Cricetulus griseus: one gene and its partners. The protein of the gene in region 1 interacts with the protein of each later gene in a pairwise test. Links are inferred from orthologs where the notes say so. Each region holds a gene or a part of one and is shown on either strand. Other genes may lie near its edges.

What was found.
Region 2: the proteins of Sufu (region 1) and Hdx interact in binary tests that used the Homo sapiens proteins (3 or more experiments, as listed by UniProt). The link is inferred for Cricetulus griseus from reciprocal best matches to the Homo sapiens genes SUFU and HDX.
Region 3: the proteins of Sufu (region 1) and Rcn3 interact in binary tests that used the Homo sapiens proteins (3 or more experiments, as listed by UniProt). The two-hybrid records come from large-scale screens. The link is inferred for Cricetulus griseus from reciprocal best matches to the Homo sapiens genes SUFU and RCN3.

What each region holds. Positions count from the first base shown.
Region 1 is NC_048596.1:15,123,655-15,130,850, reverse strand, and holds part of Sufu (suppressor of fused homolog), read left to right. Parts: intron 1-3,435; coding exon 3,436-3,578; intron 3,579-4,289; coding exon 4,290-4,375; intron 4,376-4,607; coding exon 4,608-4,680; intron 4,681-6,969; coding exon 6,970-7,126; intron 7,127-7,196. UniProt on the Homo sapiens protein: Negative regulator in the hedgehog/smoothened signaling pathway. Down-regulates GLI1-mediated transactivation of target genes. Down-regulates GLI2-mediated transactivation of target genes. Part of a corepressor complex that acts on DNA-bound GLI1.
Region 2 is NC_048604.1:60,282,721-60,290,689, reverse strand, and holds the start of Hdx (highly divergent homeobox), read right to left. Parts: upstream 4,336-7,969; coding exon 4,189-4,335; intron 1-4,188.
Region 3 is NC_048599.1:153,966,102-153,973,983, forward strand, and holds the start of Rcn3 (reticulocalbin-3), read right to left. Parts: upstream 4,336-7,882; 5' UTR 4,148-4,335; intron 3,823-4,147; 5' UTR 3,815-3,822; coding exon 3,576-3,814; intron 1,841-3,575; coding exon 1,638-1,840; intron 1,153-1,637; coding exon 980-1,152; intron 1-979. Other genes in the region: Fcgrt (IgG receptor FcRn large subunit p51), read right to left, coding at 5,110-5,219, 5,381-5,497, 6,268-6,537. UniProt on the Homo sapiens protein: Probable molecular chaperone assisting protein biosynthesis and transport in the endoplasmic reticulum.

The DNA of each region.
Region 1 (7,196 bases):
TTCCCAGTATCTAGAATGATTTTTGCACTTTGCTCGTCTACCCTGCAACCTTTATACATGTGGTAGTTTAGTAGTTTTTAGTGTAGCCCTAAGACGTTCCATGTACAAGCCCACATCATCTATGAACAGGGGTAGTTAACTGCTTCCTTTCCAGTCTGGATGTGTTTGTTGCTTTTTGTGCCCAAGCTTCCTATGGCGAACCTCTACTGCAGTGATGAGTACAAGTGGTGAGAGTGGGTATCTGTCTTGCTCCTGATGGAAGAGGGAAATGGGTCGTTTACCATCAAGTACAATGTCAGCTGCTGGTTTTTTTAGATGTCTTTTGTCACAATGAGAGCACTCCCATCTATTCCTGCTTGCAGTGTTTGTTTTGTTTAATCACGAAAGGTATTAGATTTTGTGACTTTTTTTTTCCCTTTCTGTTTCCTAATATTTATTCCCATAGACAGGAACTGCAGTACAAGCTTGCATTAAATTCACTGTGTGACCCTGATTCTTTTTTTTTTTTTCAGTTTTATTATTGTGTATGTAATATGATGCCTGTGTGTGTGAGTGTGAGCATGCATGGGCCATGGCACACACGTGGAGGTCAGAGGACAGTTTTCAGGGGCAAGTCTCTGTCTACTGTGGGTTCCAGAGACTGAACCTAGGTACTCAGGCTCACCATACAAGCCTTCTATTCACTGAGCCATTTCACCCCCAATGTCTGATGTTTTTTACTTCCACTTCCTTGTGCTGGGATTACAGATGTCTAACAGCACACCTGGTGGATGCTGGGATTACAGATGTCTAACAGCACACCTGGTGGGTGCTGGGGTTACAGATGTCTAACAGCACACCTGGTGGGTGCTGGGATTACAGATGTCTAACAGCACACCTGGTGGGTGCTGGGGTTACAGATGTCTAACAGCACACCTGGTGGGTGCTGGGATTACAGATGTCTAACAGCACACCTGGTGGGTGCTGGGGCACAAACCCAGGGCCTCATGCATGCAAGGCAAACACTCTATCAACTGAGCTCCATCCGCAGCCATTTTATATTGATTTTTAAATTAAATCAAGCTATGATTTCTGGGATGAATCCCACTTGGCCTTTGTATATAACCTCTTTTATATGTTGCTAGATTCAGCCTGCTAGTATTTTGTTGGGATTTTTTTTCTGTATAAATAACTGATATTGGTCTATGGTTTCCTTTTTCCATTTTCTTAAATTTGTTTGTCTGATATTGGTTTCAGGATAGTATTGGCATCATCTAATGAACTGAGAAATGCTTCTTTTTCATTTTTGGAAAGACTTGTGAAAAAATCTTAAATCCTCAGTGTCAGTAGGGTCTAGATTGTAGGTGGCTGTCTGGTGAGGGTTTTTAATTATTAGCTCAGTGTCTCAAGCTGTTTCTTACTTCCCAGGAAGCTGGTTATAGACGTGGCAGTGAAAGGAGAGAGGGGTTCAGGAACATGCAAGTGGGAGTCCCGAAACTGGAGGGTTTCTCACCATCCTGGCCCCCGCTTCTCCACTTTCCCCCTTGGGTCTCCTGGGGAAACCGTCCTCCCTCTCCCTCCTGAAGGAACACTGTTGAAGTATGGACACACACTCCCCACCCCCCACCCCCCATCTCCCCACCCATCCCCCCCATCCCCCCATCCCCCCATCCCCATCCCCCATCCCCATCCCCCATCCCCCATCCCCATCCCCCATCCCCATCCCCCATCCCATCCCCCCATCCCCCCCCATCCCATCATCCCCATCCCCATCCCCCATCACCCCCATCCCCCATCCCCCCATCCCCCATCCCCCATCCCCCATCCCCCATCCCCATCCCCCCATCTCCCCATCCCTCCATCCCCCCATCCCCCCATCCCCCCATCCCCCCCGCACCCCAATTCTGGCTGGGAACGATGGCTGGGTAATATCAGGTGGCGCAGGAAGGAATGAGAGTTCAGTCAAGACAAGACAATGACAGGCAGAAACTTCGAGGTGTGTGCAGGCGTGCATGGATGTGTGCTATGCCCTGCCTTGCCATGTGCTGTGGACCTTTAGCAAAGGCGCCTCTCTGCAAAGCGGATGCGAAATGAGCTCTGAGCTATGTGAATGAGAGAGCTGTGGAAAGCTGTGCTCTCCATCCATGTTCACAGGGGAAATGGAGGGAAGCTGGCAACTGAGCTCATTTGGAGCTCATAAAGTGCTTGCCTATCGTGCACAGCCCTGGGTCTCTCTCCCAGGGAGACTGGAGAAATGGCTTGGTGGTTAAAAGGACCAGCTGCTCTTCCTGAGGACCCAGGTTGGATTCTCAGCACACACGTCAGCTCATAGACATCTAAAACTACGGTTCCAGGGGATCTGATGTTCTCTTCTGGCCCCCTCAGGTGCCAGACACCTAAGTGGAGCACAGGCATACAAGCAGTCAAAACACCCATGAACATTTTAAAAGGACACCAGCAGCTGGGCATGGCGGCACCTGTCTCACACTTGGAGGTGAATATGGGAGGTTCAGAAGTTTGAGGTCACCCTAGGGAGTTTGAGGCCAGCCTGGGAACCCTGTAGGTGCACACGCTCTGCATGCTCAAGGCAAGGGTCAGGGTGGAGGCTCTGACTACATGGGAGTGCTCCCCTATGGCTTTGCTGCCATAAGCATGTTCCTCTTGGGGTTTTGTTTTTTGAGGCAGTGTTGGCAGGTAGCACAGGCTGGCCTCAACTTATCCTCTTGCTGTAACCTCCTGAATGCTAGGATTGCATACATGTGCCACCACTCCCGGCTCTTTTTTTTTTTTTTTTTTTTTTAGGCCTTCGTGAAGCATGGTACTGAGTCTGGGGTCACTGTGCCCTCACAGAGGCAGCCACCCCTCAGCAGCACAGTCTCCTGAGGTGTGCAAGGCACTGTCCTGACCTCCATTTACCCCAAGTCTCCAGTGTTCCTCAGAAATCCCCAAATCTGCTTGTGGGAAACTAGCAGCAGATTTCTATGAGGCTGAGTGCTCCCTTTCTGCACTGATTTGCCAGCACAGAAATCCCGGGGAGTTTTTCCAAGAATTCCCACTGTTTCCAGCTTCCCTGCTTCCCAGTGGCCACAGTGGAAAGCACCTCATTCTTGGCCTACTTGATCATCTCCTTCTCTGTGTGTAAGGGCACTGGAGAAACACAGTGGATGCTAGAATTCTTAGGCCTTCCTGGGCTAAGTGAGCATGCACACCAGTAGCACACCAGCAAAGGCAAACACGTTGGGTCATCCAAGACCATTTGGTGTTTTGGGAGTAGCTGCAATGCTTTGCTTGTATTGGGTATGGACTCACCAGGCTATTCTAGGAGGCTGGGGAGTCTCCCAGGAGTGCATCCAGCTGTTCTAGGAGGCTGCAGGGCCTCCCGACCTGAGCTTCTGAGTCTCAGGGCAGATTCCAGGTCTGGATCCAAGTGCTGAGGATCCTCCTGTCTTTCCACAGAGAACACCTTCTGTAGCGGGGACCATGTGTCTTGGCACAGCCCTTTGGATAACAGTGAGTCAAGAATTCAGCACATGCTGCTGACGGAAGACCCACAGATGCAGCCTGTGCAGACCCCTTTTGGGGTAGTTACCTTCCTGCAGGTGAGATGCTGCGAGAGCTTCAGACATTTCATCCTTGTGGGGAGAGTCTAGAACACAGGTGGACTTGGAGAGGGGAAGTGGCCGGGCAGAAGGCTCCTCTTGGTCTTCTCTTCCCCATGATGGTCTGTCTGAATGCAGATGAGACGATTCCACCGTCTGCAATGGCAGGGTGGTCTTCTCTTCCCCCATGATGGTCTGTCTAAATGCAGATGAGACGATTCCACCGTCTGCAATGGCAGGGGCAAGAGCGACATCCAGCTCCAGGGTTACCGTTCCCCAGTGGGTGTGACTCTCCCCAGCTGCTGCCCATGCTTGCTTGCAGCATCTAATGAGGGCTAGGTGAAGGTTCAACTGGTATCCTAGAGATTTATACAGATACAGCTATTGCAGGAACAGCTGCCTGACCACCCCCTGCCTCTAAATACCTGGCCTGAGGGAGGCCCTGCCATGCTGTGGCTCAAGCTGCCCCTCGTTTCTTCTACAGCCAAGAGCTAGGCTCTGTGCCACTAGATACCTGGTCAGGTCTTGGTGCCTGTCTGTGGGCACAGGAACCTCCCAACTAGGTAGCACCTCCTAAGGGAGCCACCAGCCTAGAAACACAAACTTTGCCTGTGTGCCCCCTCCTTGAGATGCGCCTGAGAGAGCCTGGGTAGCTAGACATCCAGGAGGGATGGCCATTAAAACACAATGGCGTCTTGTCCTGGGCCGCAGATCGTCGGTGTCTGCACTGAGGAGCTACACTCGGCCCAGCAGTGGAATGGGCAGGGCATCCTGGAACTGCTGAGAACAGTGCCTGTGTGAGTATACGTCCCTGTAAGGTGGAGGCCTGGACCCCTGGGTCTTGGGGGTGGGTGTCCTCCCTCCATCCCACCTGAAGGGTCCTTTGCTTTGCTGTTGGAACACTCATTTCTCTATGGTCCCTGACCACTAACAGTGTCCTGTGTGTTCTGGGTGGGACAGCAAATAGGAAAGCTGCTGACTAATGATCAGTCCAGACCCTCAGGTACCTCTGTCTCTCCTTGTCCACAGTGCCGGTGGTCCCTGGCTGATAACTGACATGCGGAGGGGAGAAACCATATTTGAGATCGATCCACACCTGCAAGTATGTCTTGAGTGAGGAAAACCTTGCTAGCACACACTTCCAGATAACCACTGGCTTCCATCCCGAGAAAAAGGAGGAGCTTTGTGTGTGAGCCAGTAGAAATATGGCATGGTCTAGAATGTGTTCCCTGAATACCCCATATAAGAAAACAGATTCCAGCCCAGAAAAGCAAGCCTGTACTTTTAAATGTCTGTGTGCATTTTAAAAGAATGGATTTTAGTGTACGTAAATTATGTATCAAAATTAGACTACCACCACCAAAGGAAGGTAATCAAGGAGTATTGTCTCCTTGCCCTGTGTTCCTTTCCCTCCTCCCCCTTCTTAGCACACGTTTTTTCAGGGAGCCACCCTCCCTGTGTCTGACTGCAGCACGGGCTATGTTGACCCCTCAGCCCAGCTGCAGGGTGAGTGCTGAGTGGTCTAATGACCCTGTCATTGTAAAGGAGTCTTTAGACCCCACTGTGGCTGCCTGGACAGTGTCACTGTCACCTTTGCTGCTTGAGAACTCGAGATGCTTGTTTGGCACCCACTGGATTTTGGAAGCCACAGAGCATTGCTGCATTTCTTGCACCCTGTGTAGGGGCAGCAGAGCACATGTCTGCCTTGTGTTTGGCTCTCTCTGCTCACCGTGCCATCAGAGGCAGGTCACGGCCATCTCTGAACTTCCCAGCTTCTGCAAGGCTCCCTCAGGCCACAGCAGCGACTAGGCAGGTGAAGAGAGACATGTAGCCTGCAGCCCCTGAAGTTGGTTGCTGCTGACCTGTGAGCTTTTGGGTTCATGTCCTCTTCATTCACAGATGAGGCTCCTCCACTCTCTGGGTACCTTTAACCCTGAAATGCTCACACTGCTGCCAGGATCTTTTGTTATCTCTACTTTGAACTTACTTTCTTTGTAGCTTCTGCTTATGCAAAAGCCAGAAGTCATGACAGCTCCATCCCTAAGCCCTCCTTCTGCAGCCACACTGGGATCCAGCATGCGGCACTGTGGACTCTTGTTTGGCTCCTGTCATGAGTGCCAAAAACTACCCAAGGCTCTCTTGAGACCCCAGCCAGCAGGATCCATAACACCCTATGGTCATTACCTTCAAGCAAGAAGCCAATGGGAGAAAATGTAGCTTGTTTTCCTGTGGCCCCATTATCAGTACTATTTGCTTGTGCCTTTCTGGCACCTATGGACAGGGCAGTGGTTGGCAGGAAAACTCATGCTCTCCCCTGGCAGACCTGCTCCTGCCCACCTTTACTTAGGCATAGAGCGCCTAGAGCTGTGGCCTGCCTGCCTCCAGCCTCACCCAGGCCGAGGACAGCACCAGGAGAGAGAAGAAAGGGTGACTTATAGGGAGGAGGCCTCCTGTGACCAAGGCATAAGAACAATGTCCTTGTCTGGCAGCCCTGGACAGGGACCGGCTGGCACAGGGAAGTGTGAGCTTTTTTAGTTTTGTTTTGTTTTGTTTTTGAGGTGCATAGTCACAGGTTTACTTGACCTACATGGCTGTTTATGGACAAGGGTGCTAAAGTCTACCAGATGACCTTTGATCCAGAGCCCAGCACCACAGAACTATGTTTTACCAGAAAACCTGGGATGTTTTGAGCACAGCTCTTCCTTGAGGCCATTTGGAGAAAGTTTAGACTTAGCAGTGCCAATGTCTACACAAAGGCAGGGTCTCTGGGGGAAGTGTACAACAGTCACTGCCCTCCAGACCCCCATCTCAGCCTCAGAAGTAGAAAAGGACCCTATCCAAAACCCTTTGCCAAAGTTAGCTGGCACCTATGGACAGAGAGCACGTCTGCTCTGGAACGATGGCCCCCTCTAGCTGTTATAATGAGGAACTGCAGGTATGGGTTCCCAAGTCCCGGCAGGCAGGCTCACACCCTAACTCCTGTAGGTAGGTGGGCAATGGCCATTGTTGGATCAGGAAGAGGGGAAGACTTCATGCCTTTCCTGAGAAAAGCAGATCATATCTCAGCTAATCAGCTCTGAGGGCTCTCAGGACTAGAAGAGCCACAAAGGCCGTGGTAATGGGGGTTGATGGGAAGGAAGCATCCATGGTGCCTTCATTTCTCCTGGCTTCCCTTAATCCCGTTCCCCAGAGGAGTCCAGGGGCTGGCAGAAGCCACTGTGCATAGAGTCAGAGAACAAGGTCAAAGAGACCCTGGTCTTACAGCAGCTGTCCACACTCAGCGTCTACACAGCCAACACTAGAAGAATAGTGGCTGGGTGGGTGGGTGGGTGGTGGTATCCTTGGGCCACCAGTTCTCTGAGGGAACTCTGACTCTTTGGTTCTTTTCAAGCAGGAGAGAGTTGACAAAGGCATCGAGACAGATGGTTCTAACCTGAGCGGTGTCAGTGCCAAGTGTGCCTGGGATGACCTCAGCCGACCTCCCGAGGACGATGAGGATAGCCGGAGCATCTGCATCGGCACACAGCCCCGGAGGCTCTCTGGCAAAGGTTGGGGCCTTCCCCTGCCTTCCCCCCTTGCCTTTCAGGCTCCCTGGACAAATCTTTAACCAAACAGTCC
Region 2 (7,969 bases), on another chromosome or scaffold:
TACAAATGCCCAGACTTAGTTTGGCTTGTTTCCAGTCAGCTTTTAACTTAAATTATCCCATTTACCTTTTTACTCTGGGCTATACCTTTCTCTATTCTATATGTCTTTCTTCCCTCCTTACTCCATAGCTGGCTGTGTGGCTGTGTGGCTGTGTGACTGTGTGACTGTGTGGCTGTGTGGTTGGCCCCTGGTATCTTCTCTCCTTCTCCTTTTTCTCTAATCCTCATTCTCCTTTCTCTTCATATTTATTCTCTCTCTCTGGCAGCCCCAACTATCCCTCTGTTGCCTAGCTATTTGCCATTCAGCTTTTTTATTAGACCAATCAGGTTTTCTAGGAAGACAAAGTAACACAGCATCACAGAGTTAAACAAATGCAACACATCTTTGCATCATTAAACAAATATTCCACAGTATAAATGAATGTAACACAACTTAAACTATATTCCACAACATACTATATGGTACAGGATGAGCACACATTTCTAAACACTGTTTCCACCTTCCAAGTGCTAAGATCACAAGTATGCATAGCCACGCCTCCATGCTTGAATTCATGCTTTTAAATAAATACTGCATAGTAGAGACTGCAAAAATGTTTCACAATTAATTGAAATAAGATACTTGGAGTAAATTTTGTGGGAGGAATATAATCTCAAAAGGAAAACTTTTTCACATAATATAAGCAATAAAATTCCTAATTTAGTTCTGAAGAATTCTCATTGCACACTAAATGCTTGCAGGTTTTTTCTTGTTTTGTTTTTTTGTAAGGATCTTATGAACCTCAGGATGTCCTCAACATGGTATGTACCCAAATGTGATCTTGGACTCCTGATTCTCCCCTGCCTTTTTCTCCCCAGTGCTAGGATTAAAGGTGTGTCCCTAACCACACCTGATTTTAGAGTGCTTATTTTAAAAAATATGAGGTCTCAACCCTATACAAAGATCTATAATCAGCTTAGGAAAGCTTAGAGTGGGACAAAAAGTCTGCCCCAGGGAAGAGCACACCAACTGGTTTTACAATGCCAAATGGTCAGCTCTGAAAACATACATGCAAGTAACATATGGACTGAACAGGTTATACTCAGGAATATATGTATATACATATGCATACATGCATGCAATAACAATAAGTAAAAAAGAGGCCATGAATTTGAGGGATAATGAGGAGGGTATATAGGAGGGCTTGGGGCGAAGAAAAAGAAGGGAGAAATGTGATTATATTATGATCTCAATGAAAAAATCTGTATATTGACATTTTATCAATCACCTTACAGATATAACAAATTACAGCTCTTTAGGTTATAAACATTTAGAACATTCAAACAACCTTAAAGACTATTTTTGTGGATGGTATTTTCCTGCAAGAGTAGATTTTAGAATTTATAGAATTTTGGGGTTTATTTTAATGCTTTTGTTGCAATATCTGCTTTCTTAAGTCTTTGAAGTTTATACATTTGAGCAACTTCTTTTTTGAGACAGGGTTGAGCTATGTCGATAGTCCGGCTTTGAGAACCACATTGCCTCTGCCCCCTATGCTGCAATTACTGGTATGCACCACCACATCCAGCTCAGGAGTGCATTGAAAAAGCCATATAGTGTTTTCAAAAATTACACTTCTGATCCAGAAGAGATACAGAGCAGAATCATAAAAATAATGAAATGAAATTCATTAGTAAGCATAATTGACATATCCTAATAAAAACATTTAATCAGAAATCATTAAACAGCAATGAAAAACTAAGAGTTCAATTATTTCCCAAGTTCCCTATTGAAAAGTACAAAAATATATACTTAAGAAATGCTTGTACTTAAAATGTTAAAAGTAAAGAAAACTCATTGTTTGGGGGTTACAGTAATTAAACCTTACCCTAAGCTGCTCAGGTATAGGATCTAAAACTTATGCTTCTTAGATATAAGCACCCACCCTTTGCAAATACCTAATTCATCAAAAAGAAAATGAAAAATATGCCGTACAAAACAGGGGTTATGATAATCTAAGGTGACGATCTAGCAAACAGACTATACACAGGAAAAAAGAAATGAATTTGAGTTGCCAATATTTGTAAGCTATAAAATTCTTTCAGTTTTATCTTAAAAATGTACTACCTCTAAATTTCTTCTTTCAACACAATATTTTTGTAAAAATATCATCATCATTCTATAACCATTACCACTACTTAATATCAGAACATTTTTATTCTTTTTTTGGAAGGAGGATTGGCATACAAAAAATAGGTTTCATTATAGCATTTTCATACATTCATGTTCTAAATTTCTTTACCTTTTTCTATATCTCACTGTTTGTTTTCTTCATTTTGACTATTTTTGTTTGGATGTTTTATTCAACCTCTTAAATTCACTTTACACTTAGAGTGAATACTAAATATAATGGACTTACGTTCTTCTGAGGAAAAACACAATAACTTTATATTAAAAGTAATAATGATCTCTTTCAAGTGGGACACATAAACAGCAAAAGATGGGGGAGATCATAGATTTGCAAATCTGCAAACTACTTTGCTGAGCTTTTGACTGATTGGAAAAAGAATGGAAATTCAAAACAATGCATTTTTGTGCCACTGATGTTTTCCTGGAATGGAGAACTGATTGCTTTACAAAATTCCTTATATCTTATACAGTGTTATACTCACAATCCTACATTCTAAGAATTGAAATCTATTCTCATTGTTTTAGATTTTCACTTCACACTCAGTATAAATATAAATATCTATATTTCTACAATCTCTATAGTCAAAAACAATAAAATTAGTTATAAAGGGGAATAGTGCAATTGACAACTTTGAAATATGAGAGATGATCCACATTGCAGCTGCCTGGGAAGACAATTTACTTTAAAGTAATGCAAAGACAAAAGGGAAAAAAAAGTCCGAGGAAATAACATTTGGAAAAAAAGTTTATTTGTATAAAGTGCAATCTCAACAACTTGAAATATTTAATTATTTGTTAAAGATTTATTTATTTATTATGTATACAGTGTTCTGCCTGCACATGTACCTGCAGGCCAGAAAAGGACACCAGATATCATTACAGATGGTTATGAGCCACCATGTGGTTGCCAGGAACTGAACTCAGGACATCTGGACTGTTTCTCCAGCCCCCATATTTTATTTTTAGTAAAGTTATTAAACATTTTTCTTTGAGATTCAGTAGTAATTTAAAGTTATCAATAGAAGACATTTCTAGTTTTGACAGAAATGGGAATCCGATAGTTAATCTCAGACCATAAGAATACTTTTCCCTATAATAAACAGCATAATTTCTGTTTGAATGTGAAATAAATACTTTAGTTCTGAAGAACTTTGGAAACAGTTCTATCCAAAAATCTTTTCTCTAGGATCTTTGGAGGTATGATTGTACAGCACAATAAACTTGAAAAAGATATATCCCTTTTCCTCAAAATTAGCCGAAAGCCTGCCGTGTGCGGGAAAGTTGTGAATCTTTGAATCACTAAGGTTCCACACTAAAAGGATTTGTAAACTGTTTAAATAAACATGAAAGGACCAATGCATTCAATAAAGTTGGTCACTAGTTCTGTTAGATTTATCACTTGCCTCCTCTCTATCACCTCATTGCTGTTCAGTAATGTGTAGCAGCTTTGATTTTTTTCATAACAGGATAAGAATGGATTCAATAATTTCTTCCCTTGGGATTTCCTGTCTCTTACTCACAAACCATTAAATATATACATTTTACTTGGAAAGAAAAGGTATCCATAAAAACAACTGCACTTTCCTGAAAAATTAAAAAATGCTCAAATCCTAAATGTCTGAGGAAAAAGTCTAAATACAACAACAACAAAGCTAGGTACATGCAAATGCTTCCAAAAATCTCTTTCACTATTAATGTGGAGGCTCTATGTGTATTAAATGAGAGCTTCTAAAAAGCATATAATCAACATCCCATAATTAATGTTACCAGTATTTATTAGTTCAAAGATTTATATAAGAGATATGTCATACTGCAAGGGTTTTAGTGTTTCCAAGGTATTTATGAGAACGAATATGACTGTGTGTGGTATCTCTATTTATCAAAATAGTATTTTTACACTAGGGAAATGAAGCTGTGTATGAAGTTAGGACTTCATACCCTGAATAGTTTTTCTTATATTAAGCAAATATCATTTGTAATAAAAAGCTATAAATTCAAGTGCAAGACCTCAATACTTACCCTGACTACACTGAAGTCCAGCTTAGTCTCCTGTGCACACTGTAATATGAGCTGAAAGCAATTTTTACTTTGATTTGTCATTCCATTTTCATAATAACGCTGTAAAATCCTTTGTTGTTCTACAGTAAATACAGAACGTAGATTCATCTAAAAATAAAAAAAGATACTCTGAAAATTGCAATAAAAAATTGGGAGGTGTAGAATTTGAACACTTTTGTTTTATTGATACAATCTCAGTGCTTGTGCTGCACAATTTATTTAAATAAATTAATCCCCAGGAATGGGCTGTTATTTGTGTGCTAAAAGGAGACAGCTTCTCCCTGAAAAAAATATATACAAACATTTAATTTGCTCAGAAAAGCACAAACTTCAAAGTCAGAAACATAGAAAACGTAAAAGTAAAAGTAAAAAGGGAGGCGGGTTCTTATCTGGTTAGTGTCAGTACATGGGAAAAACGGTTTTCACTGAAATAAATATTTATGGCTAGTAAAGCCAGAGATGGTGTTAGCCATACACAGTCAATTATCAACAGGGACACTCACTGTTCTTTGTCAAAGAAAGCATCTGGCATACGTCTTATAACAGTCAGAAGCCATGCTCAAAAACAAAGGGAACTTTTTTTCTCATTCTGAGATATAAGGAGTTTTATTATATATTTAAAAACTTCTCTTTTAAATTTTTTCTTTGTTTTGTTTTTGCTCTTGAGATAGGAACTCATGTAGCCCAGGCTGGTCTCCAATTCCTTATGTTCCTGATTCTAGCAAGTGCTGGATTTACAAAGGTTCACAAACACCCTCAGCTCAACAAAACATTTCATTAAAAATTAGAAACAAAGCATAGGGACTAATAACCATGAATGTGCCTTTGCTTTATGTAATACTAATCAAACTAATTATTTTAATAACTATAGTATTTAAATGAAAATTCAAAATCAGTATAACTTTTAAAATTATTAAAAACATGTGGAAACTCTACTTTTTGTTGTTGTTGTTTTTTGAGACAGGGTTTCTCTGTGTATGTTTGGAGCCTAGTCTGGCACTCACTCTGGAAACCAGGCTGGCCTCAAATTCATAGCGATCTGCCTCCCAAGTGCTGGGATTAAAGGCATTTGCCAACGCCTGATGAAACTCTGAACTTTTAAATTCAATTGAATTAATCAAAATTAGGCAGTTTACTTTTCCTGCCAATAGATGAGATATTTAATACAAAGGGCTAAGAACTTTGTGTATTCCACAGGTAAATGGTAGGGCAAACTCTACTTTTAAAAGGATGAATCATAGTAATGCATTTTATAAAGAACATTTATAATTTGATTAAGGGAGCTTTAGGTTTTTATTTAAAAATCTGTCACACAAAGACTTTCCTGAGGAAAGTGGTTCATTAAAATTAGGAAAACTGCCATAACAAAACAACCTCAGTCAAACTAAATATTTTCCAAGTATATAATGTATTAAAACAATCAAGTTCATTAATATGGAAATACAAATTATTTTACTCTACTCTGAATACTTACTATAGTAAATATATCCAATAAAAATCAGTGAACTATAAAATATAACCATATACTACAGTTTGTTATTGTTATTTTTTTTTACTTTCTTCCTTGCTCACACAAGCCCTTCTCTAACTGTTAAGAGATTTGATTAGAGAAAATTAAATGTAGGAGAGGCCACAAGAGAAATAACAGTAGAGTATCTTTGAGGAACATTTAGAAATAAAGACCTCCATTAACTTTCTGAAGGAGAGTTCTGAAGGATGTTCAGTAATGTGGATGTCAACTTGACCAAACACTCAAGGATGATTGTAACAGTAGGTAGGGACAGTATCCATCAAAACAGTTTTGACTATTATGGCTTCCAACTCTTGAGTTTACCTAAATGGTTCAACTACAAGCAGAAGATGATCCAGAAGATGGAAGTCAAATACCTGAAATACCTCATCTGATTTAGAAACCAGGTATCATGCAATGGATTCTGAGGGTGGAAATTTTTAAATTATGAATGCATAATTAGAATAATCACTCTGATCCTTTCCTGTGCAGCTGTACCTACAGCAAAAACCTAAACTGCAGGATGTAGGTGATACCCAAGTGTGAGGATACCTCCCTAGAAATACTGGATGGACTATTTTCTTATTGGCTGACTGCAATCATTACACTTACCCAAATACAATATGATCCTTATAAAGAATGTCTCCACTGATAACTGATAATATTCAAATGTAAGAGACTGAGCACCAAATACATCTATAATTTTGGTAACAGGAAATGCTAAGGAATATTAGTCTTTCCCTTAAATTCAGCACCAATAGCAAAAAGACACTTTGCTCAAAGGAGCTATTTTTTCAAGTTACATAAATTCATTCTTTACTGTAACAACTAGATAACCCATCTGAACAAGATGTCATTATATCTACCCATACTAGCTATGTTTGTCTACCTTAAAGGAACATACAGCCAAATTTGTTAACCATTTACAAATCAGTAATAATTAGAAAAATCTTTTTAAAAACTGATCACTTTATGTAAAAAACAAAACAGCATGCCATCGATTATAGTCAGTGGATCAGCATGGAATGGAAAGATGGTCTGAATTGGGTGACCAAATATTGAAATCACGAATCATTTAGCCTTACCTCAAGATTTTCTAGTCTTACATTCTATGCATCTCCCAGCCACCCAGCACACACCAGACCATGGGAATAAGACAACCTGAATGCTACCTAAGTTGAAATGCTTACTATTCAGTAAATAACTTAATTTCCTTGAGCATACTGTTCGTGTTGTGTAAAATGCTGGGTTGCAAAATTTGACTTGCCTACTAATTAATCTCAGTTCCAACAAAACAGAAATTTTGGTTCACTTTTCTCAAATTTTCAACAATGTAATATTTATATTGGTAATATAAATAAAACATTAAATTATTAATTTCAAGTACTGAATTTCTCATGTTCTTTTTAGGTTTAAGATTCAACGTTTTAATGAGGACTCTGAGCTAATGAAAAAAAGATAAATTATGCTCAGTATTTCATATTCAAGTAATCAGAGCAATGACTAAATATTTAAATTTGTTGCTTTAGGAGTACTTAAAGAAAACAGATTCTAAGAATGACTACTTCTTTAGATGTTCCCAATAGCCGAGACCATATATTCATGTGGAAATATTTCAAATAAAATCTGATATGACACTGTTCCTACATACTTGATGTCATACTTAAATCCAGGCTAATGCATTAGTAATGTTCTCGCTGCTTAAGTTATTTGAAAATTCACTAACAACTATTCATTCTTTGAATCTTTTGTTTTACAAATTGGATGAGTACACAAATCTATCATGAATTCAGATATGATTCATTTTTTCCAATATTAAAATTTTGAATTTTACATCAGCAATTGGTGTTTTTATTTACAAAATGGAGAGTTGAATCTAATGAAAACCACATACATCTTCAACCAATGTGTCTGCATTCACATTGTCCGTTTTATACAATTATTATTATTCCTTTTAAGTCTCATGCAGTAAAGTTCACGCTTCTGAAAATATGGTTTTAGTGAGGCAAATTTATATAGTCATAAACCTATCATGGCAGTCATGATACAAAATATTACAAGCTCTCTGAAACATTTTCTTTACATTGCCTCTTTGTAATCAATGCCTCCAGTCACATCAGTTGGTGTCACCCACTAATCTATTCAGATAATTTTGACATTTAAAAAATTCCAAATGTATGGCATCATACAGTATGTTCTCCTGAGCTTTGCTCTTTTCATTCAGCATATTAA
Region 3 (7,882 bases), on another chromosome or scaffold:
TCCAGACAGGGTTTCTCTGTGTAGCTTTGTAGACCACGCTAGCCTTCTTTGAACTCACAGAGATTCGCCTGCCTCTGCCGCCTGAGTGCTGGGATTAAAGACGTGCACCACCAACGCCCAGCATGTTCCCCACTTTTACATTCAAACTAATTCAGTAGAAGATGATGCAACCAAATACTGAGGGTGTGGCTCAGCAATAAAGCCCCTTACCCAGAATCCCCCAGTGAAGTCCTGGGGGTGTGGCTCAGAAGTACAGGCCTTGATTAGCATATTCACTGGATTCTATCAACTACCCTACAAAACACCTTCAGGATCTGGGAAGACAGTGTAGTTGGTAAACTGCAGTGCCACAAAAACATGGAGGCCTGAGCTGGGTTACTCAAGACCCACATACAATGGGCCTGGGTGGTACACAATTATAAACCCAGGGCTAGCCAGGCGTGGTGTCGCACGCCATTAATCCCAGCACACAGGAGGCAGGTGGATCTCTGTGAGTTCAAAGAGTCCAGCCTGGTCTACAGAGTGTGTTCCAGGATAGCCAGGGCAACACAGAGAAACCCTGTCTCAAAAAACAAACAAAACAAAACAAAAGCACTGGCTGTCCTACAGAGGACCTGGGTTCAGTTGCCAGCACCCACAGTGGGCAGCTTACAACTATCTGTTCCACACCTGGTATCTGAGACATACTTAACTTATGGGGTATGATAAGTGCATGTCAAATAAACTATGTTTTTCTGGGGCCCAGACACTACTGGGGTTCACCTGAGGCTCTTCCGAGGATGTGGCTGTCTGGGCATGGGCCAGGGACTGGACACCAATGAGAGCACAAGCAGGTCTGACAAGGAGATACCAGGCTCTGGGTGTGGAGGAGACGGGGAGGCTGCTGTCCCCACATCTATGTTGGTGGCCTGGAATCTGTGTGGAAGATATGGGGACCTAGGACAGGTTTGGGAAGCAGGCTCTCTGCAGTCTCACTCACAGCAACCACGATGTCTCGCATGTGTGGGAACTCCTCAGGGTGCAGATAGGCCGTCAGCTCTTCCCGGGTGGCCATGGAGTCCCCATCCTGGTCCGCCACCCGGAATCGCCTCTCATCCCGAGCCAGCATCTTCTTGTAGGTCTCAGCATCCTCCACATCGTGAAATTCCTCCCCTGGAAAGGAAGAGGTGGGTGAGATGCATGGTCACAGAGGTGAGGCCTGTCTGGAAAAACAAAACAGACAAGCCACGGGAGCAAGTCAGTAAGGTGCACTCCCCAGGCCTCTGCATCAGCTCCTGCCTCCAGGTTCCTGCCCTGCTTGAGTTCCTGTCCTGACTTCCTTCAGTGATGGACTATGACGTGGAAGCAGAAGCCAAATAAACTCTTTCCTCTCCAACTTGCTTCTGGTCAGGATGTTCCACCACAGCAACACTAAGACACCAGAAATGCATAGAAAGACTGTCCCAAAAAGAAACAGAGATGGGGTCAGGACAACAGCACACAGATGGTAAGTGTTCCTGATCTGGAATGTTAAGTCTCCAGTCAACTTGTCACATAGGATGGATCTCAGAAGGAAGAACAAGCCAGATCAGAAATGGAGAAGTATCAGTGATAAAGTCCTAAAAGAGAGGTCAAAGGTCAAAGGTAAGGTGGCATACCCGGCTCATAGTGGCCATACGTGGCATTGCGCAACTCCTCCCAACCCACGCGCCCGTCGCGGTCCATGTCGTAGGTGTGCCAGGCAGCGCTCACCGAGTCACGGATGTGCCGCTGCTGCGTGTGAGCGATCCACGCGCGGAGCTCGGCTAAGGACACCCAGCCATCGCTGTCTCCAGCAAGATCCATGCGGTCCACGATCCGCCTGCAAGGGGAACAAGTGTCATTCCCTGCCCAATGAGGCCCCAACGCTAGAATAGAGATGCAGTCAATCTCAATCTTGACCCTCGCCCACCTAAGCCCCTTCCTTTCGTGCAGGCAGAGACACGCTTGTACCTACATAAGACCAAAAAATGGGGACTTAAGTGATGGCTCGGTTGGTTAAGAGCCCTGGCTGCTCTTGTAGACCTGGGGTTTGAGTCAAAAGCATCTGAAACTCCAGTTCCAGGGAGTCCATCACCCTCTTCTGGCCTCTGTGAGCACCAGACATGTTCGTGATGCACATACACGCAGGAAAGACACTCATGATGCACATACACGCAGGAAAGACACCCACAGTCATACTCTAACATAAATAAATCTTTTTAAAATTAAAAAAAGTGGGGTGAGGTAATGCACGCCTTTAATCCCAGCAGGAGAATCTCTGTGAGTTCGAGGCCAGCCTAGTCTCCAGGACAGCCAGGGCTATGTAGAGAGACTCTGTCTCAAAAGAAAACAAAAACAACGCGCGAGAGAAATTTTGTTTCTCAAGACAAGGTTTCGCTGTGTAGTCTCTGGCTGTCCTGGAACTCACTCTGTAGACCAGGCTGGTCCTGAACTCACGGAGATCCGCCTGCCTCTGCCTCCTGAGTGCCGGGATTAAAGCTGTGCTCCAGCCAGTATGAGGAGGAGGTTGTCACTGGCAGGTCTTTGCCCGCACTAACTCGGTTCCTCAGAGATGCTGCCGTGCGCAACTCGAAAGGGGACCAGATGAACTGAGAGACACATTTAATCTCAGCATCCAGCCCATCCAGACGCCCGCGCTCTTCGCCTAGCCCTTCCCCTACAGGAGATGTGGATTAGCACCTGGCTCAAACCAAGGCCACACCCTCTACTCTAACCCCTCCTCAAAGCTCTGCACAGACCTCAACCCTAGGTGAATTGAGTTGAAGTGGTAACAGCGAGTCTGTCCGGCCTCTTACCCGCACCCTAGTCTCAATTAACCTTGAAGCTCCACCTCTTGCCATCTCAGGGCCGGCCACTCGGTCAGGCTCAGCCTGCCTGTGGACTCGAGCTCCACCCACTTCCCTGAACGGGCAGATCAATTTGGGTCCTCTGTCTCCAGGTCAGTCCCGCAACCTTTCAATGCCACTACTGGCCCAGTTTAAAATTACAACTGGTTAGCCGGGCCTGGTGGCGCACACCTTTATTTAATCCCAGCACCCAGGATGCAGAAGCAGGCGAATCTCTGCATTCTAGACCACTCTGGTCTACATAATGAGTTCCAGGCCAGCTAGTGCTACACTGTGAGTTTCTATCTCAAAATAACGATGATGATAATTCTAAAGCATATATGCAAAGAGTGGCCTTCTTGTCTCCAGGGCCATGCTAACTGTGTCCTCCACACAGATACAGGCCAATCTCCTCCAGATGGAGTCTCGGACTCCATCCCTCCCAGTTGAATCTGAATTCTGAGCTTGGGAACCTTCTCAAATTTCATTTCTTCAGTCTCTATGAAGAGTTGGTGACCAATTGAGAAGCTAAGACAGAATAGGAAAGTCCAGACAGAGGCATGGAAGTAGAGGGGTGTTGGTGACACAGGTCCCCCACAGCCTCAGGTTTAACTCTGCCTTTGCCCAGGAGGTGAGTACCACAGTTCTGTCCAGTCTCCTGCCTCTGACCTTTTCAGTGAGTTCAATTCTCCCCCACCTCCCACCTCTGCCCGGCTCCCGGCATCCTACCCGAGTCGGGCCTGGCTTTCCTCTGGACTGAGTTGGTCAAATTCCTTGGCCACGTCTCGTCCTAGGAACGCCTCGTGGTCGTACTGGAAATTGCCGTGGGCGTCATCGTGGGGGGCCTCGCTCAAGGGGGCTCCCTGATGCACCCTGCCATGGCCATGAGGCCCGGCGTCAGGGGATGGCTTCCCCAGGGCCCACCACCTCAGCAGCAAGAAAAGCAACAGAAGCGACCATCGCCACATCGTCGGTCCTTGGGGAGAAGTGGGGTCAGAGGATCATACGGGGGTAAAAATCTGAACCAGAAATATGGAGAGAACTTCAAAGCTAGGGGCTGCCTAACGCATGGCAGATATATGCAGGCTACAAGGTTTGGGGCTCAAGAAAAGTCGGCAAAAAGAATAGGGAGTCTGCAGGTGGGGAGAAGCTGGTGGGTGTTCAGTTGGAGACGTGGCACGTTCATGCAAAGCTCAGGGAATGGTGGTGGCTGAAAGCATCATGCAGGGTCCTCTGCGTGGCTCCCAGCCTTGACCGCGCGCGACCCCCACCCGAAACCCCCTCCCTGGCTAGCTCCCCACCTTTACTCCCGTTACCAGGCCTGGGTTCGAGAAGCACGGTGAACTCGCTTTCCAGCAAGGATGCCCAACCTGGCGCGGCGCCAGTCAAGCTCCGCCCCTGGCAGCCCAGAGGCCCCGCCCTCTGATCAATAGCGGAGCCAATGAGCGCCAAGAGTGTCCCGGGAGCCCCTCGCCACGTCCACACGGCGGAGCGCTAGCCTGGAAAGCAGTCTTGAACTACAACTCCCAGCAGGCTTAGGGCAACCTTCACTGCCACCTCCAGAGGCTCTGGCCCCAGAAGATTAAGGGAAAAGTATTTTTTAAGCCATTTTCTTATTTCTCAGATTGGTTTAGGGAGGAGGTAGGGGTTGGTGGCTCTTGCCTTTAATTCCTACACTTGGGAGACAGAAGCGGTGGATCTCTATGAGTTCGGTGCTAGCCTGGTATATACATAGCGAGTTCCAGGACAGCTACGACTAGAGAGAGACACACTATCTCGAAAGGGAGAGAGGGAGGGAGGGAGGGAGGGAAGAAAGAAAGAAGGAAAGAAAGAAAGAAAAAAAGAAAGAAAGAAAGAAAGGAGAAAGAACAGGAAAGCTGAATTCCTTGAAATTCCTGTCACAGTGTAGGTATGTATCATTTACATTTATGACTAAAAATACACAACTAAGTATATAAAATGGACAGGTTCTATCACGGCAACCAGGAAAAGTCTATAATCTTTTCCCAAACTCGTTCAGTTATTCCTGCAGCCTGAAACTTGACAATAACAGTGCACACACAGATTTGGACCCAACTTTATTTTGTGGAGATGGAAAACAGCCATGTACATTAAGAAGGGAAACTGAGGCAGGCCACAAAAGGAGGAGTCCACAAGGAGAACATCTGGCCCAGGTCTCCCTCAGAAGGCTCAGAGATGCCAGGAGTTCAGGAGGTCACACAGCACCAAATGCTGCAATGTGTATTGGAGGTCTGAGTTGACATCAGGAAGTGGCTGGAAAGGTATTTGCACCATGAGGGTCGGCCTCAGGGGGCAAGTTGCCACCGGGCAGCAGGTCACCTGAGTCATCACCGCTGAGGGAAAGCCATGGGGCTAAGAGAGAGGAACAGAGGTCAGCATCTGTAACCAAGGTGTCATCATCCCACACGCCATGAGGGCCACTCTTGTCTCTGACCCCAGCTCTTTCTCCAGGGTGGCCAGGGCCTGTCTCTGTCTCTCTCTCCCCCCACCGCCCCTCCCCCTCTGGCACACACCTGGCAGCCCGCTGCGCATCCTGTTCCACAGCAGTACACCCCCTGCAGCAGCCACTATGACCACCAAGAAACCAAGAACGATTCCGATCACAGGCACAGAAGATCTGGCTGGTACATCTGCAGCCAGAAAGCGTTATGAGAACAGGGAAGAAAGCAGCTGAGGAGTCCCGCAGAGAGGGGTGGGGGTGTGCAGACACTGGATACAGGAACCAGCCACACTGGTGCTTAGAGAAGTGGCTCAGCTGGTAAGAGCACTGGCTGCTCTTCCAGAGGATCACAGTTCGGTTCCCAGTACCATATCCAGTGCCGGGAGACCTCTAAGATAGAAATCTAGTCTGACAAGAAGGCTCAGTGAGTAAAGGCATTTGCCTTTGCCATTCAGCCTGATGGCCTGAACTTGATCCCCATGACTGACATGGAGGAAGGAGAAAACTAACTCCCACAAGTTGTTCTATAATCTTCACAAGTATGCCATGACACAAGCACACCTCTGCTTTCCCCCCCATATAAAGAATGTAGGGAAATAAAATATATAAGCATGTAAGCATGTGCTGGAATTACATGGGTATGCTACCACCACCACATATACGCATATATATATATATATATATATATATATATATGAACAATAGCCATATAAGTCACAGCCACACTATGAGCAGGCTGGGTGAAAACCCAACTGAGGAAGGAGAGGCATCAAAGCAGATGAGGGTCAGCTGAAAGCCGCAGCAAGGACTGTCAGTGGCAAAGTGAGGGATCAGAAGTTATGAAGACCAGCAACATTGAGACAGAAGATGGTCAGATTCAGGAGGACTGGCGGTAGGGTTAATACAGGGTCAGTATCCAGGAGAAGCAAGAAGACTCCGAGGCTGGATGAACAGCCTCACCTAGGTCCACAGTGAGAGGCTGTGCCAGCCCCTTGTGTTCCACCTGACATTGGTAATGGTGTTCGTCTCCTCTTTTGACCTCCAGCAATGATGAGGCGTAGAAAGAGCCGTCACCATTGGGACCGATGCTGCTGTTCCCAGAGCCTGCGGCCAGCCCACTACGAAGGAATCGTAGCTTCAGCTCAGGAGGGTAGAAGGAGAAAGCAGCACAGGTCAGTATGGAGGAGCCAGAGTTGCTAGGACGGGCCTTCAGGCGCATGGAGGGTGGCTCTGTGGGGACACAGGGGATGGGCCAGCAGTTAAACTGGGCTGTGAACCCCTCCCAAGGCTCAGTGCAGAAACTGGTGATGGACATACACCCCCTGCCCCAAATCAGCACTGTGCAGACCCAGGGGGCTTTCCAGAGTGACAGACACCAACCCTGCTACCCTAGAAGGTCCCCTGCTGAGCCCACCAAAACACCTCCTTTATCCCCCCACACCCCTTATTTTGGTGAGTGTGTGTGTGTGTGTGTGTGTGTGTGTGTGTGTGTGTGTGTGTGTATGAGTGTGTGTGTCAAGGCCAGAGGTCCATAGCAGGTGTCTTCCTCTACAGCTCTTTCTCCATTTATGTTTCACTCTATGTATAAGGGTGTTTTTGGCATGTGTGTCTGTGTACCACTGCATACAGTGTCCATGGAGGCCAGAATTGGACATCAGATCCCCTGGAACTGGAGTTACAGATGGCTATGAGCTACCATGTGGGTGCTGGGAATCAAATCCAGGTCTGCTGCAAGAATAGTAAGTGCCCTTGACCACTTAGCCTTTGCTTAGCCTTTGTTCCCACCCACTTATTTTTTGAGACAGGGTCTCTCTCTCTCTCTCTCTCTCTCTCTCTCTCTCTCTCTCTCTCTCTCTCTCTCTCAACCTGGGTTTCCCCTCTGGCTACACTAGTTGCCAGTGAGGCTGTGTGATCCTGTCCTGTCCCCACCAGACCACTCTCAGCAGGTACAGACATGCATCAGCAAACCCAGCTCCTGCAAGTGTGCTGGGGCTCAGAAGCCAGGTCTTCATGCACACCAAGCATCTCACCAGGCACATTTGTCTGTTTTGAAACTGAATTTCACTGTAGCCCAGACCGGCCTTGAACTCTCTATGTAGACAAGGATGACTTTGAATTCCTGATCTTCCTTCCTCCACCTCCTAAGTGCTAAGAGATGGCAGGCACATGCCACCATGCCTGGTTTATGGAGTGCTGCGGATGGAACCCAGGGCTTCATGCATGTTAGGCAAGCGCTGAGCTAACTGAGCCTCACCCCCATCTGCCCATCCCTAAATGGAAATGTACTGCACATTCTCTAGTGCTATGGCCTGTTCTAGGCCCAGGGAGCACATTGATGATGTGACTGTCCTACTGGGATGTGACAGTGCACGCCACACCAGTAATGCAAATGCTCCAGGAGCTAGCACAGGAAAACCATGAGTTCCAAATGAGTTGGACACTCTCAAGCAGATCTCTATGGGTACCAGACCAGCCTGGTCTACATAGCAAGTACCAGGACAGCCAAGGCTACACAGAGAAACTCTGTCTCAAAAACACAAAACAAAAGAAATGCATGAAGAATAGATAAATAAAT